Oreochromis niloticus: one gene and its partner. The main gene of each other region encodes a partner of the protein of the gene in region 2 in a complex. Links are inferred from orthologs where the notes say so. Each region holds a gene or a part of one and is shown on either strand. Other genes may lie near its edges.

Region 1 (7,782 bases), on a different chromosome or scaffold from region 2:
AGGTGGGGGACACAGCTGGGAGTAATTAACGAGACAAGACAAGAGAGGTAAAACTGAACACACTCACATGAGACGCAGATCTTCACAATAAAACAGGAAACAAGAGATCACTTCACAAGGACGCAGACAGGACACAGAACTAAACCCACACAAAACATGAGAACACAAAACCTGCGAACAAAACCCCAAACCAGAACCACAGTAATATAATTTATCACAAATAATCAAAACACCAGAGAACCCCAAAACACTCCAAAATGCAAAATAAACCAAAACATAAGGAACTCAAAAATGCTGGGTCAAAACTGACCCAGAACTGTGACAGGTCTGGATTAGACCCAAGACATGCTGGAGAAATCTGTCGGCTGGCCTGGGAATGCCTTGGTGTTTCTCTGGATAAGCTGGAGGAGCTTTTTGGTGACAGGGAGGTCTTGGCTTCCCTGCTTAGGCTGCTGCCCCTACGGCCCAACTTCAAAGAAGCAGAAGAAAATGGCGGGATGGTTTATCGACTTCTTATTTTAGATTTACGGTTTTATTTAAGTGGTTGTCATGAACCATGAACCATGTGCATCATTCAAGAGTCTGGGGCTCTGAGGAAAAGTTGTGTTTTTTGGTTATAGTAAGAATATGTAATAGTTTTCATGTCATATTCAGCATTATTTTATTTTAAGTGCTGTTCTTTATTGTCTGTTTGAAGAATAATGTGCAATGATCATAATGCAACAATGTGAGGTCCCACACAAATAAGGAGCATGATTGATTATTGAAGAACATGATTATTGGTTTTAACGCCTTTGTTTAGACAGTTTTTGACTATTTAACAGTCTGAAAGGCTCATAATCAAGAAGCATGGTTCACAATCCTTCTTTAAATCACTCACCTCACCCCCGACCTGAACTAATCAATCTCTCATCTCTCTTAGAGTTACTGACTCCCCAGGTTCACTGACCACACTGTCCCTCTGACTGTTATAAGGAGTTACTCTGTAGTTAATCTGCACGATCTTGTTTGGCCAGACAGACGGTCCATGGACAAATCGATCATCCTCTCCAGCAGGCAGAGCCTTTTTTTTGGGGGCAACAAAAATTATGAAACACTCATACCGTCTATAAATCTATAGACCTTAACCAAACCGTCGTCAAGAGTAAGTATCCACAGCCTTTAATCAGCTCTGTCTTCTGATCTTTGCAACAGTATTTACTAAACTGGATTTTAAAAAATGAATTATTTGGTTAAAATCCAAAACTGAGATGAATGGAAATGCCACTGCAGAGGGATTTTAACCAATCCCCCTGCAGTGCCCCGGACCCTCATAAATGATCTCCTGAGAGACTTCTTTAGCATCTTCATCTTTGTGTTTAGATTGGGATTTTCCTCTACTTTTTTCTAAATCCTTAGAAGTCAGCTGAGCTTTACAGTGCCTTGTAGAAAACGGACTTTATGTCAAAGCAGGGGATTGCTTCTGTGACCTCTCTGGGTTTTTTGTTCGAGGGTGACAGGTGAAGACTGACCCCAGTTCAGATCCAGCTGGATCCCAGACTACAATTTCTCTCCTACCTGCAGAGTGCTATAAGTTTGAACTCCAATCTTGCATAATGGTTCTTGTTTTTTAGAAGATTCAATTTGTCCACCACGAACCGCTTTTAGCGGTGATGCAAGACTTTCCCCTTACAGCATCTTAAGGCAACTTTTATTGTATTTAGAACTTCTTTTTTTTTTTTTAAATGAACTGAAATTACCACCATGGCTTTCCTCCCCAGCTTCCACTGGGACCACACCACTAGGTTCGCCTGCTACCTTGGGGTAAGTAGAACTACTTCTTTCTTTAAACAACAATTTTTTGTCCTTCATCATGTTAAAGGATATCTTTCTGCCTCCCCCACATGTCGGGAACAAGAGTCCTTCAAAACCGCTTTCAGGTCTCCTTCACCCACTAACAATTCCAAATAGATCCTTGTCATACATCTTTTTGGATTTTATCACTGATTTGCTCCTCTCAGATGGAAAGACAGTTATCTTAACCACTGTGTACTGGTTCTCTGAGGCAGCTCACTGTGTGAAGAAGCTCCCTCAGCCTCTAATTTCAACGAAATTTAATTAAATTTTATATAGTACCAAATCATAACAAGAGTTGTCTCAGGGCACTTGAAATTGTAACATAAAAACTGTATAATAATACAAACAGCAAGTGCTTTGGATTCTACCGTCAGACAAATGGACAGATAGAAAGATGAAAGCAGGAAGTAGCAGCAGCCCGTGGTTGAATTATCCATAACAATCCATAACTTTCATGTTCATAGTTGTCTTGCGAATATGCACATAACTCACTCGGTGCTAAATCAATCACTGTTTAAAGTTTCAACCGGTTATCAGCCACCCCATTCCCATCCCATGAAGAGGAACTGGATGTGCTCTCAGCTCAGTCCCAGTGCACAGCTGCTGCATCTGGAACCAAATGAAGGCCGCCTTGCTTCGACCTGCTGACTGTAGTCACTGCCAGCTGACTGATGGAAGATCCCAGACTGATGATGTTTCGTATGGGCAACGTAAAAGTTGTGGTCTGCTCATAAAATTCAGATAAATTATCAACTATCAACTACATACAAATAAAATACAAAACTTTCAGTGACCCTTAGAACATGTTACCCTCACATCTTAAATCAAGTTCTGTTTACATTCTGTTATAGGTGGAAAACAAATAGTTGAACACTTGTGGAAATATGTTTGTTATTTTCTTCATCAAATGAGGAATTGGTAAGCTTAAGAGATGTTGGGAAGTGAGCTGTGTTTTTTGTTTTTTAAATTTTCGTTGTTTGGAGTTCTCATAACGTCAAAGCATCAAGCCATGACATTACGCTGTTTCAGGCTCTCCTGGCTCTGTTTTCATACAGAAGAAGAAAAACTTTTTATTCTCAAAGTTGGAACATTACAGTGCTAAAGCACAGGCAAAAGGTGATTCAATAAAACAAAATGAATCAACAACAGGGAGTTTTAAATGAATGCAGGTGTTGTGGCATGAGATTGAAATGAGAGAGCATGCCAAAGCTGGTTGGTCACGATCCACATCCATTCACCACAGCCACAGTCACTTGGTTAGCATCTTCCTCAAATGATGGAAAGGAGTCCAAACTGTGTTGATCTGAAGTGGATTCAAACAGCAACAACAATGATGAATTCTGGGTAATATAAATGCATTCCAACAGGTAGCAGTTCAATCATCAGGCCACAGATACACCTGCAGCAGCATGTCCAGGTTCACATTACTTTTCAATCTCACCCAGTGCAGTCCCTTTATATTCCTTCCTTACCACTCAGATTAATGTCCTGGTCTGCCCAAAGCCTGAAGGCAGGTAAAGGCACACTGTGCAAGTGTATGTGGCACATTTGTAATGCTGCAAAGCCGCATAAATCTCATCTTTTATTGCCCAAATATGTCACATTCCCCATGATCACCCAGCTCTAGCTCTGAAAGCCATCATAGGTACTACAAGGTCCTCTGGGAGCTTGATCAGCTATGGAGGATTGTCCCATGCCAAGAGTGTAAAGAAAAAGCACAAGCAGATAAAAAAAAGTTTTTGTATGTTTTAAACATGAGGTCTGTGTGTGACAATGGTATTAGTCTTCTCAGCAAAATGAAATGAATGATTCTCTAAGTATTATTTATTTATTTCAGTTGTGTTTAGTTTTGAGTAGCTTTGTGATTTTTTAAAATTGTTTTTTAATTGTCTCCAAAAGGGAAATTAAAATGACTCCTTAGAATTCAAATGTGCAGGATTATTAGGAGTCTGTGTGAAGCACATCCCTTATTACATGTGCCATTCATGTGCCTTATGAATGAGGGAACAAGACAAAGCTCCACCCATGACATGCAATCTCTTATCATAGTGCATTAAAGTCTGCACTTCCAAAATGTGCGATTGCAAAGACGAGGAGACCCTACAAACTAATAAAGACCTCAGGCTCTGGTTTGTCTGAATAATACTGTGGAGTTACAGTATAAAATGAGAACATGGTGTTTGTGTAACTCTTAACTGTGAAACACATTGAATAAACATTAAAACCCAAATATTTACTTTGTTAATATTTCTTTAAATATGTGAAAATTGTTATTTATAAAATACGTATGTATTATAATTGATTCTTGAAATTTGAGTCTATGTAATTCTTGTCTACTTTCTATTAAAGGTCACCCATTATTGAAACATATTTACAGTATACGCTTCTTCTTTTCTATAATACTCCCAGTTCATGTCTTTATCTACTGCACCTACAAGTTTAGATTATAGGCTGTATTATTCCTGCCTTACAAACTCATGACAGGAAGAAAATGCCTTCAGTTATGGTAATAAATCATATTCACAATCCTGTTTATATTCCTTTGACTATAACATTGTTTCCTTCCTGTCCTAATCTAAACCATGCAACCACAAGCAGCAGTTTTAACCTACTATGGTACGTTTCATTCTTGGGAGTGTAGACAGTGTTAAGTATATGCATAGTGAAACGACATTCTTCCCAATACACAGCTCGGAGATCCAGGATGGCTCCTTAGGTCATGCCACTGCTGGCTGGTAAGCATGATGATACACAGACACATATACTGTATACATAGACACATGCACAAACACACACACACACGCACACACACGTCACTTACCACCAAGCGCCACTTAAAGAGACATCTGACCAGTGGCCTTATCATTTAGAGGTGTCAGAATGCACTTGAGGCCGTCTACAAAATGATGGCACTGCCTGTCTGGTGCATGGTAAGTGTATGTAGATGGTTGTGTATGTGAGGCTGTCTGTATATAAAAGCTTGCAGTGCACGCTATAGTATCAGTATTAGCAGAAGAAACATAACATGAGAACTGAGGTTCTGTGGGGCGTATTGGCCCTGCTGTGTCAGCAAACACTGGTTAGCGGCCACATACTGGGGAGGCCCTCATCTGCTAATGACCTGGCTCAGCTCAAGGTAAGAAACCATGTCATACCTGTAATCAACACACCATTTGTGGAAACATTACACTGTGAAGGACCAGATACTTTGACATTCAAACAGAGAGAGGATCAAAGACAAGAAAGTAGCTGCATGAATAACATATTTCCTGTTATTAAAAATCATTCAAAGGCAGTTACACTGGTATCAGTGTCTTCTCAAATGCAGTTAGTGTACGAATACTACAAGCATTTCATAATTGCACTAATGCATCCACCCCAGTATAACTGATTTATGTTCTACTTGACAAAGTGAAGAGTTTTTTCAAATATAGTTTAAATCAGAGCACATGTTGACATGCTTTTCTATGGATTTGTGAATATTGAGAGGGAATAACAGGATGAAATGTTGACTGTTGTGATGACAACAAGAGGACACAACAACAGATCAGGCGATTACAAACAAAGCAACACAATGTGGAAAAGTAATTATCATTAGAGTGTGACCTCACATTGATCTGATCTCAAAGATATACCTGCTTTACTTTGTTCTCCTTATTTTCACTTGTAATTTTAACTTCATCACAACCTTCATCGTCATTCTTCCTTCATCTTATAATTAGCCAAGGTGAACTAGAAATTAGAGCGCTCTGCTTCCAGAATTACAAGCTGTGGTTCAGCTGTGGCTGAAGTAGACAGTTATTAAGGAGATTGCTGTGACTCTGACACAACACTGACATGACATGAACAAAACATTCACCTTTATTCCTGATATGCTGTTAATATTTGCATACCTATTAAATTAGGCAATAAAAACACCCACCATGGTTTTGAAAGTATGCAGCCTTTGGTTCATTGTGTGAACGTCACAATATCTGTGCACTGATGATAACTGTGGTATTTAAAAATTAAACATCGTGAATGATGGGTCCCTCTTGTTTGTTGTTGGCTGAGTGTTATGACTCTGTATCCAGATGGACTCTCAGACTTGGGACCCATCTGCTGACTCTGGCTACCTTGGTGGCCCCACACAACTCGTCACTGCTGTGTGTTTTTCAATTTGATTGGCACCTGAGGCATTGAGTGTGAGCATTGTTGACCAGCTGTCAGGTGTTCATGCCACAACTGTAAATTTTAAAAGCACTCTAGTGTTCATACAGTCATACTCATCCTTTACACCTCAAACTCTCACTTGCACCAACACATGCATAGGGTCTTGCAGTGCACACTATAGTATCAGTATTAGCAGAAGAAACAAAACATGAGAACTGAGATTCATTTCCTGTTCTTCTGATCTCCAGCCGCCCCCTTCTGCTCTTCAGCCACCCCCTATTTGTGTGTGTGTATATTATGGCTGGGTCTGAGTCTTTCTGAGTCTTGGCCACTGTGGGACATAGTGGTGGAGGGTGTGAGGTTGCCCTGCCCTGTCAGGTGCCAGGCAGTTCTCATCACCTGGGACCTTTCTTTTGGCTCATGCTGGGACAGCCAACCTCTTATGGGGTTGGTTACCCATTGTCTTTGGTTCTCTGGGGCCCTTGTCCTTTGGCTTTGGGGGCTCCATGTGGGGCCTCCCTCTTCCTTCACGCGGTTGTCATCGAGATGTGTGGCCTCAGGTCATCACTATTCTTGGGCGTCCGTGGACAGCCCGGGTCTCATGGTCTAATGGACCTGACTCTGGCTCCCCTGACTCTGGCTCCCAGGGGGGCGTTGTTGCAGCTTGTCACCCTCATTATCAAGTGTATTTTATGATAAACACACACACGCACTTGCACGTCCCACCTGTGATTGTGATTGTGCTCCATAAATCTGCTGGACAGGACGGGTTTATTAGGCAATAATCATGTCAAAATTGCTCATGTGATACTGATATGATATTGGTATAATTTTGAATACTTATGGTTACACTTGTATAAGCGTTAGGATTTAGTAATAGGTGAATTTGAGTTGTTACAGCTATTGTGATGCAAACTTTCCAATAAGGTATTTGAACAGACAAAAGAGGGAGGCTGTTCTCAAAAGTGTAGAAATAAATATGCAGCATAAACAGGTCTGTATTTTATATTTTTACATGATAACATCATGTTTTCAGATCATGCATGGCTGTGTGTAAACAGGAATATTTCTGGAACATCACCAGTGTCCAGGCTGCCTCTACATCCTGATTTATTAGATGCTTTATGATTTCTACAACAGTCTTTGCTGGAACGCTTTGAGGAGACATTGGATGAAGTGGTCCAGAAAGAAGACTTGGAAGCTTATTATGAAGACATGAACCAAGATCCCAAAAGCAGCCAGACCAGCCAAGGATGGGACCAAGAGGGGAACCAAGAACCTCTGATATCTGAAAAAGCCCAACCACTAACTGAGGGCAAGACTGTGAATCAGAGGAGCCGCCTCCAGGACCTGCTGATGGCCACCAGGAAACGCACCTCTGGCTGTTTTGGAGCCAGGATGGATCGAATAGGAAATGCCAGTGGCTTGGGATGCAACAGTGGAAGAGGTAGGACTGCAGTCGGAGACGCAAGACACAAATTTGAATTAAATGAGTTAAATAAATACAGAGCATTAGAACATGTCAACCCTTAGAAACATGCATGCAGTTGGATTTTGACTAAATGTGCAATCACATATTCTACAAGTTCTTAACTTAACTTGATGTGTTTTCTCACTTGTTATTCTTTCGGGCTGCTGCCTTTAGGGGTTCGCTCAGCATCAAGCCATCATCTGCCTCCATCACACCAGCCTTCCTCTGCACATGTACAAACTATCTCAGCTTTGCCTCTCTAACCTTAAACGTTGACCTTCCTTACACTTTTCATTGTAAACATGTTTTGGACAGTCCCCTTT
Region 2 (7,403 bases):
CTGCTCTACCTGTGTTGCCTTTGTCATCTTTCTCTGTCTCTCATTTATACAGTGCTGTGACAAAGTAACACCTGTGTGAGGAAGCACATGTGCACGGTTTATCCACTTATGTTCCGGAGTTCTTCAAATAAAAGCAGTCTGGGTTTCCATAATAAGAGTCTCACTGACATATGGACATACAGTTTCTGTACTGCAAAGCTAAGAGGGCTTTTAATTTGAAACAAATGCAGAAAATGTTGAGTTGAGTCGCTTTAACAAGGTAGGAGAGAATTAAAAATACTAAAAAAAAAAATTAAAAAAAAATACTAAAACAGGACTAATTCATCCCATAAAATACAAGGAATGAGGTAAGCAGAGGTCAAAGATAACACAATGTTAGCGGCGTCAGCGTTAGTTCGTCAGCTGTTCCAAACAACGAACATGTCTTGAATCAGTCCACTCGCATTATAGCAACTTGACAGCTCGGATCATTTCATTTGACTTAATTGGCTCTCTTTCATCAAATGCACTCCAGGGATGACTGGATTTCAAGGAGAGTGAATAAATAAGCTCCAAAATGTACCTGATGTTTTATTCAGTAAGAACTGAAACCAGGTCTGCCATAGACTGGTCACCAGTCCAGGGTGAAAGAAAATGGATGGATGGATAGAGTCACTTCAGTCACTTTAATTTTAATTTTAAAACGGTGAAATTTTAAAAGTGTATATAATGTATATTCTGTGTATTTATTATCTCATTCTTATTGCCTGTTTATGCCCTGTCCTTATCTTCAACGTCATGCTGCTCTGTTGTATCTATCTTAATTGCCCCTTGGGGATAAATAAAGTCTCTCTGATTCTGATTCTGATAGATTTGAAACTAGGGGCTGAGATCATGAACTCATCAGGAAAGTGTGTAATGAGGTCGGAGATCAGGTGAGGAGTGGGCTCATTTTCCCCTAGACTTCTGTATAATCAGACCAAAGCAGTTGCACCCTGCTGGACATTTGAGTGCTTCTGCATTGGCGTCATGCTTCAGATGCAGTACCAGTATCTGCACCAGGGATGTCAAACCCTTCATTCCTGAGCCACTTATCTTCCAAATTCATCAGCTGTGCTGTATGAGTAAAACCACTCCGTAATAAGTCTTGATGCATGCTCATTCATCTGGACCTGGTGTTTTTAGTGGGAGAAACATTTCATCACTCATCCAAGTGACTTCTTCAGTCTCAGCTGTAAATTTCCCCAATCTTTTACATACATTTGCATAATGACTCAAACTAACCCCACTGGTGAACAATGGGCTGTGAGGTCAGTTTCTTGATCAGCTGATCAAGAGTGACGAAATGTTTCTACCACTGAAAACGCTACGTCCAGATCAACAGAATTGGGCACTCCCTAATAACTTTGAAATCTCCCTTATTGCATTTTCTTTAAGTAAAGGGTTATGGTTGTTATGGTCATGTTAATTTGTTCATGATTCCACACATTTAGAGTACAGATGATCTGGTCTCTTCGGCTTTCAGCCTACATGACTCACACCTGTTGTTGAGCTGTTGACCAAAATGTAGGTCCCTCTTTAAACTCAAGAATCCATTAAAACCCCCTCATATCCCAGCTTTCAAATGCAGCGTGTGTTTCTGGGTCTGTCCAAATGGTGGGAGGTAACGCAAAGAAATATGATGAGTGATGTTGAAATGTGTACATAGCTTCTCTGTATGTGGAAACACAAAATCAGACTTTAATCACCACATTTCTCCATACACATGAGCACATGAATAAATCTGTGAAAGCAGGCTGCTGTGAGAAAAGGCAGCAGGAAATCTGACAGGAAGAAGAAGTATAGGCCAGCTTCAGTCAGGCTGAAGTGTCTTTGAATACATCAGGATTTCTGATGCTGATGAAAACTTTACTTTCCAGAGATGGAGGTAAAACACACTCAGCTGCCCGACCCGTCTTCAGTCTTATATAAGTGTTGTTGCAACATCAGTGAGACTCAAACACATCACTCAGGGAACAAAGAGCTGTCAACATTGAGGTCTGTTTCTAAACTTTCAGCTTCTTTAGGATCAGGATCTGTGCACACATCAAACCTCAGACTAAAAAAAAAAAAACAGTTTCTCACTTTCATTCTGAGGTGACTGTCCATCTGACCATTGAGTGTCTGTGTGCTTCACACATGATTTTAATTATTAATAATAATACTATTGTTATGTAAAACAGTCAATGATCTCGTGGATGCCAAATGTATCATTCTCGCGATCGATTATGAATATTTTGTCCCCTCATGTCCAGCCAGTCTCTCAGACGATCGCCCCTCCCTCAGCCTGGTTTTACTGAAGGTTTCTTTCTGTTCAAAGGGAGTTTTTCCTTTCCAGTGTCGCCAAGTGCCTAATGATTGCTGGCTTTCACTGCTTTATTGCAGGGTACTGCTATTGTGATTTGGCGATGTATAAATCAAGTAGAACTGAATGTATTCTTAGTGGTGGGCTGTTGTGTCTGAAGGCAGATAGACTTCGGTTAAGATGAAGAAGGAAAATCAGAGTCTTCGTTCATTTGAAAGCGTGACCAGGACAGAGACTAAGAGAAGAACTAAAAACAACTTTCTACTCGATTAACTGCTTGGTCGCTAAACGCGCGGCGCCTTTCTCCTGTGTAAGTTCATCAATAGAGGAGCGGCTGACGTTGTTTTACCTGTTCGGCGCTCAGCGCAGCTCCGTGTGTCCGCAGAATGACATCCAGCTGTTTTCAGCTGCAGCTCGCGCGGCGGAGGACGCCTCGTGAACACTCGGTGGGAACTCCGTCTCACCGGAGGCTCACCGGAGGCTCGCGCCCCGCTACTGCCGGCGCGTTTCCGCTTCTCCGCGCTCACAAACCATCCCGGTAATAATCCAGCCTCCCGCCGTGCGCGCACACGCAAGTTTTGCTGAGGGGGTGTGGAGGGTAAGAGGGCAGTCCTGAAAACGCGAACTGAAGCGCGTGCTTGAACCTACGTGTATTCAGTTACCAAAGTGACACATGCTATATATATGTGTGCTCGCAGTGCCCCGCTCCCTCCTTGCCGTGCTCTGCGCACGCTGATAGACTGAAATATTACTTTTAATCAAAAACTTTATATAAATCCGGATAAAGCCGCTCTGCTGACGTGAGCATGTGGATATGGAGCCCCCTGGTGGCCGCCTGCAGCTACTCACTTGGTTTTATTGATTGGATACCGGTACTAGTCAGTTGATTAGTCTGATTGAACCCCGAGTAAAATGACTGTGGGTGAGGGTGATTATGGATTATAGACAGATGGTCGTGTTTCTGCCTTCTGCTCAGTAAAAGTTCAACTTCCATAGAATTATCTAAGATCAGTTAACAAGTTAAATGACTGATCAGTTTCTCATCAAACTTCCAGCATCTCTGAACTCACTGCTGACCTTTGACCTCTTTGCAAGGAGAGATTTTAAAGTTCATTAACAGCCACACATGACGTCACACTGCAAGTGTGTTATTGTTCATAAAGTTAATGCACAACACATACATAGAGAACCAAAGAATGTGTGTGTGTGTGTGTGTGTGTGTGTGTGTGCGTGTGTGTGTATGTGTGTTTTAACAGGATACACCCGGTATACCAGGAAGTCGCTTGGAAACACACAAACTCTCCCTCTCTGTACCTCTTCCTGGAAATGATCACCACCCACCCTCATACTCGGACTCTCTTGCTCTCTTTCTCACATGTATCCTACCTTCCTCCCACTCTCTCCTGTTAATGAAAACACATTAATGTTTCTCTTATTTAACTGTAAAGGTCACACTTGAATACAGCAAGTCGACTCCAAAGAAAGTCAGTAAATACAGTTAAGGTGAGCAGTTTCCTCCTTTTATTCTTGATTCTGTTAGAGACACTGCATGATTCCGTATTCAGAATAATCCTTCTGTGTCTGGGTTATAGTGCACCCTGTTCCTCTCTTTTGATTGGTTGTTCTCTGCCAACAGAACCTTGTAAGTATTATCTTGTGCTGTGGCTACTGGAGAAAAATACAACGTGAAGTTACTGAAAACATGATTTGTGGTTGTTGGTTGGGACTGAACTGTACACCTGAAGGCACAGCTTCATACGGGGATATTGTGATTCCCATATGAAGTGAATGCTGATCTGAAAATAGAAACTTTATCATTTTTTTTCTTCCTTCATACAGGTAAACTAACTATGATGAGATGACTGTGAGGATATCCTCTCTGTTTGACATCATACAGCCAGGGTCACCACAAGGAGGGGCCAGGGGGGACACTGGCCCATCCTAGCAAGGCTGTTGTATGTTGGTATTATTTTAATAAACATGAGGTCAAGAGAGAGGAAGACAGCCTACAATGAGTTGAAACATTAACCTGTTATTTATTCCTGCATATACAATTTTGCCATTCGTATTGTGTCACTTTGTATGTCCCTCATGATTTCCTGTCATAACCTCCTCACCTTTGCTACACCCCTGCGCTGTTTTGGTGTGCTACCCCAATATTTTTAGTGGTCGCCATATGGTCATCCATTGAAAAAATTCAAGAGGCGCCCCTGCACAGCGCTCGCTGAGTGTAAGATGCTGGCAGTGGTTGGAGGAGCATGAGGTAGAAACATGTTTAATATGAACATCCAACCCTGGAACAGGAGACAGCAGACAGCAAGTTGAGAGGAGCACTCAGTCACCGTTAACGGTTTCTTAGTGTCCAGTCGGCACACAAAGTTGTGCCAAGGCTCAGGTCTGACTCTGCTGTGAGGATGAGTGTTATTCCTGAACGAGGAGATCTGAAAACCAAACTTAGCATAAACACATGAATGAATTCAAACTTTATGGACGGCTTTTTTTTTAAAAACAGAACAACAAACTCTTTTCCCAGGCTAAATGAAGATCTTCTAAATTAGTGACACACCATTTCCCTGTCCAGCTTATGGGCTATCTGATTTTTTCAGCAGGTGATGGTTTTGTACCTCTGAAGATTATTTTATAATTTATTTATTTTTAAGGGATTAGTGTTTTTTTAAACACTGTAAATAGTGACTGAAATAAAAGCCATATTTATAGAAATTGTGGAAATTATTTGTCTGCTGAGATATAATCACACAGAATTAATCTCACAGGGAACATTTGTCACAGGAAACTGATTAAACCTCCACAACAACAAAGCCCACAGAGCAGGAACAGTGTGACATCTGGACGTTCGCATATTGTGTGCAGTCTTTTCACCGCTTCTGTGCAAAACCAATCCTAAGCACATCAAGCACTCAAACGATAGCAGAAAATCCAAAAGGCACTAAAGCAAAAACTGCTTTAAAAGGTGAGACACTACAAACAAAAATATGAGTGGCATCTGAAGAGCTTCTGTGACAGCCAGAGGAGTCCACATCTTTTTCACACAGAGCTGCTACCAGCCCAATGTTGTTTGTTAATAAAGTTTTTCAGCTGAAAGGTTTTGTGGAATCTTTTGTTTGTGGAGCCCAGAAAAAATTAAGTCAGACTGAAACATGATGCTGACCATGGCTTGGAGCCGAAACAGGACACAGTTGAGTTATATAACGGCACAAAGCTTCTGGAATTATTGAAGAAGCTAAGAGTCAATTTGTGACTGAAAGGTGTGGACAGGAGGATTTTTGCAGCCTTATGTCAAATGGATTTGTAAGTTTTACTTTCAGGAGGAAAATATTTGTAATTCACAATTGTGTGATCAAAAGTCTGTGGTAAACAATTTACTGCAAACTGCATGAAATCTAACGCTGAAAAAAATCTTCTTCTGCCTGTTGTGGTTGTGATAGCTGCTACCAGAAAGGTTTATGAGGGGGACATATCTTGAGAACAAGTGCATAATCGGCTCAAAGCTGTGAGCTTGTTACCAAAACCAGTGGTGACAGTAACTGAGTGAGTATTAACAGAAAAGCACTGATTGACGAGCTTTAATGATGTTGTTTTACTTCCTTTTGTTCGTCTTCAAATTTCCAATTTAAAAAAACACAGACATGAGAAAGTGTTTCTGGTAACACTTTCTCATGTCTGCAAAACTGCAAACACTTGTGTTTGCAGTTTTTAACAGACAGTAAAACCATTTGTCATGTACACACTCATTCTGCTGCTCTTCTCTGAGGTCACTACATTACATCAATCAAAGTAGCCAGACTGAGCCATGAAAACAACAAAACATGGCAACAGTTTGATAGAAAAGTTTTAAATTCACCCCACTGCTACAATAATGAACAGCACTGGGTACTTTTAATGTAATAACTGAAGAACTTCGTACTCAGTAGCTTCATTAGTGTGGGAGGAAAATTGGAAAATGAAATGAAAAAATATAATTTTCTTTTATGAACTAAATTTTTAATTTTAATTTAAACAAAGTTGTGCACCTTTTAATTTCCGTAGTTTTTCATTTTCTTATGAGAACATTTTATCAAACCAAATTATTTATTTCTGAATGTTTAAATGTTTTGGGAAGAATAAAACGCTGGAAAAATTCAGAAATGTGTCCTGTGTGCCGATGGGATCACCACAACTGGAGCGGGATCAGCTGCAACAGAGACAGATGGCTGAGAGGAGCTGGGGCCATTGCCAGTTGCAGTAGAGAACAGACTGTGCAGACCCAGATCACGGTCTGCTGGGTCATCCTCTAAAGCTGGTGGTGGGACCTCCGTAGGTGGCCACTGATGAGCTTGATCAAGGACCCAGGTATTGTCCAGGGGCTCGCAGCAGCGATAATGCTTTAGCTGGTCATGGTGGACAACTTTCACTCTAGACCTTGGGTTCTTCTGGATCCGATAAACCAGGTCATCCAATTGCCCCAGGACAAAGAATGGTCCTTCATACGATGGGAGGAACTTTTTGACCTTATTCTTGATGTGACGTGTTCCTTTGATGAGATACCATACAGGATCTCCAGTCTTGTACTGTGTGTGGCAACAGTTCTTGTCATATTGCCTTTTTGCGCGCGTGACTGACTCACGCAGGGCTTCCCTGGCGATGAGGTGGGCCAGCTCCAGCCGCTCACGCATTTGGTGCACATACTCTGGAGCTGAGGGTTGGTTGTCTGGATCAGGAGGTAGACCTGCGACAAGGTCCACTGGCTCACTCAGTTCTCGGCCAAACATCATGAAGTTTGGGGTGAAACCTGTAGCACTGTGTTTGGTCGCCCTGTAGGCCATAACAGCGTACGGGATCATCAGGTCCCAGTCCCAATGGCAACGCTCTGCTGTGGAGGCCAGGATCTTTTGGAGAGTGGCATTAAAACGTTCAACCTGGCCATCTGACTGGGGTCGGAATGGCGTTGTATGAGTCTTGTCTATGCCAAACAAACTGCACACCCCCTAGAACACATCAGATTCAAAATTGCGTCCCTGGTCACTGTGGAGTGCTTGAGGTATCCCGTAGCGGCACACCCACTCAGATGCAACAACCTCGG

The links. The genes of interacting proteins can lie anywhere in the genome.
Region 1: the proteins of npr1a (region 2) and nppa are in contact, whole or in part, in a crystal structure (PDB 7BRG), measured with the Rattus norvegicus proteins. The link is inferred for Oreochromis niloticus from reciprocal best matches to the Homo sapiens genes NPR1 and NPPA. Residues at the interface, in NP_036745.1 of Rattus norvegicus: Asp90, Val115, Tyr116, Ala119, Pro120, Arg123, Ala139, Leu140, Gly141, Ile142, Val144, Tyr148, Tyr182, Asp184, Leu186, Gly187, Asp188, Asp189, Arg190, Phe193, Phe194, Val196, Glu197, Tyr200, Met201, Arg204, His213, Gln214, Glu215, Phe216; in NP_036744.1 of Rattus norvegicus: Arg126, Ser127, Ser128, Cys129, Phe130, Gly131, Gly132, Arg133, Ile134, Asp135, Arg136, Ile137, Gly138, Ala139, Gln140, Ser141, Gly142, Leu143, Gly144, Cys145, Asn146, Ser147, Phe148, Arg149, Tyr150.

What each region holds. Positions count from the first base shown.
Region 1 is NC_031984.2:35,514,015-35,521,796, reverse strand, and holds the start of nppa (natriuretic peptides A), read left to right. Parts: upstream 1-4,764; 5' UTR 4,765-4,861; coding exon 4,862-4,972; intron 4,973-7,128; coding exon 7,129-7,435; intron 7,436-7,633; coding exon 7,634-7,692; intron 7,693-7,782.
Region 2 is NC_031985.2:34,509,241-34,516,643, forward strand, and holds the start of npr1a (atrial natriuretic peptide receptor 1), read right to left. Parts: upstream 3,020-7,403; 5' UTR 2,673-3,019; intron 1-2,672. UniProt on the Homo sapiens protein: Receptor for the atrial natriuretic peptide NPPA/ANP and the brain natriuretic peptide NPPB/BNP which are potent vasoactive hormones playing a key role in cardiovascular homeostasis.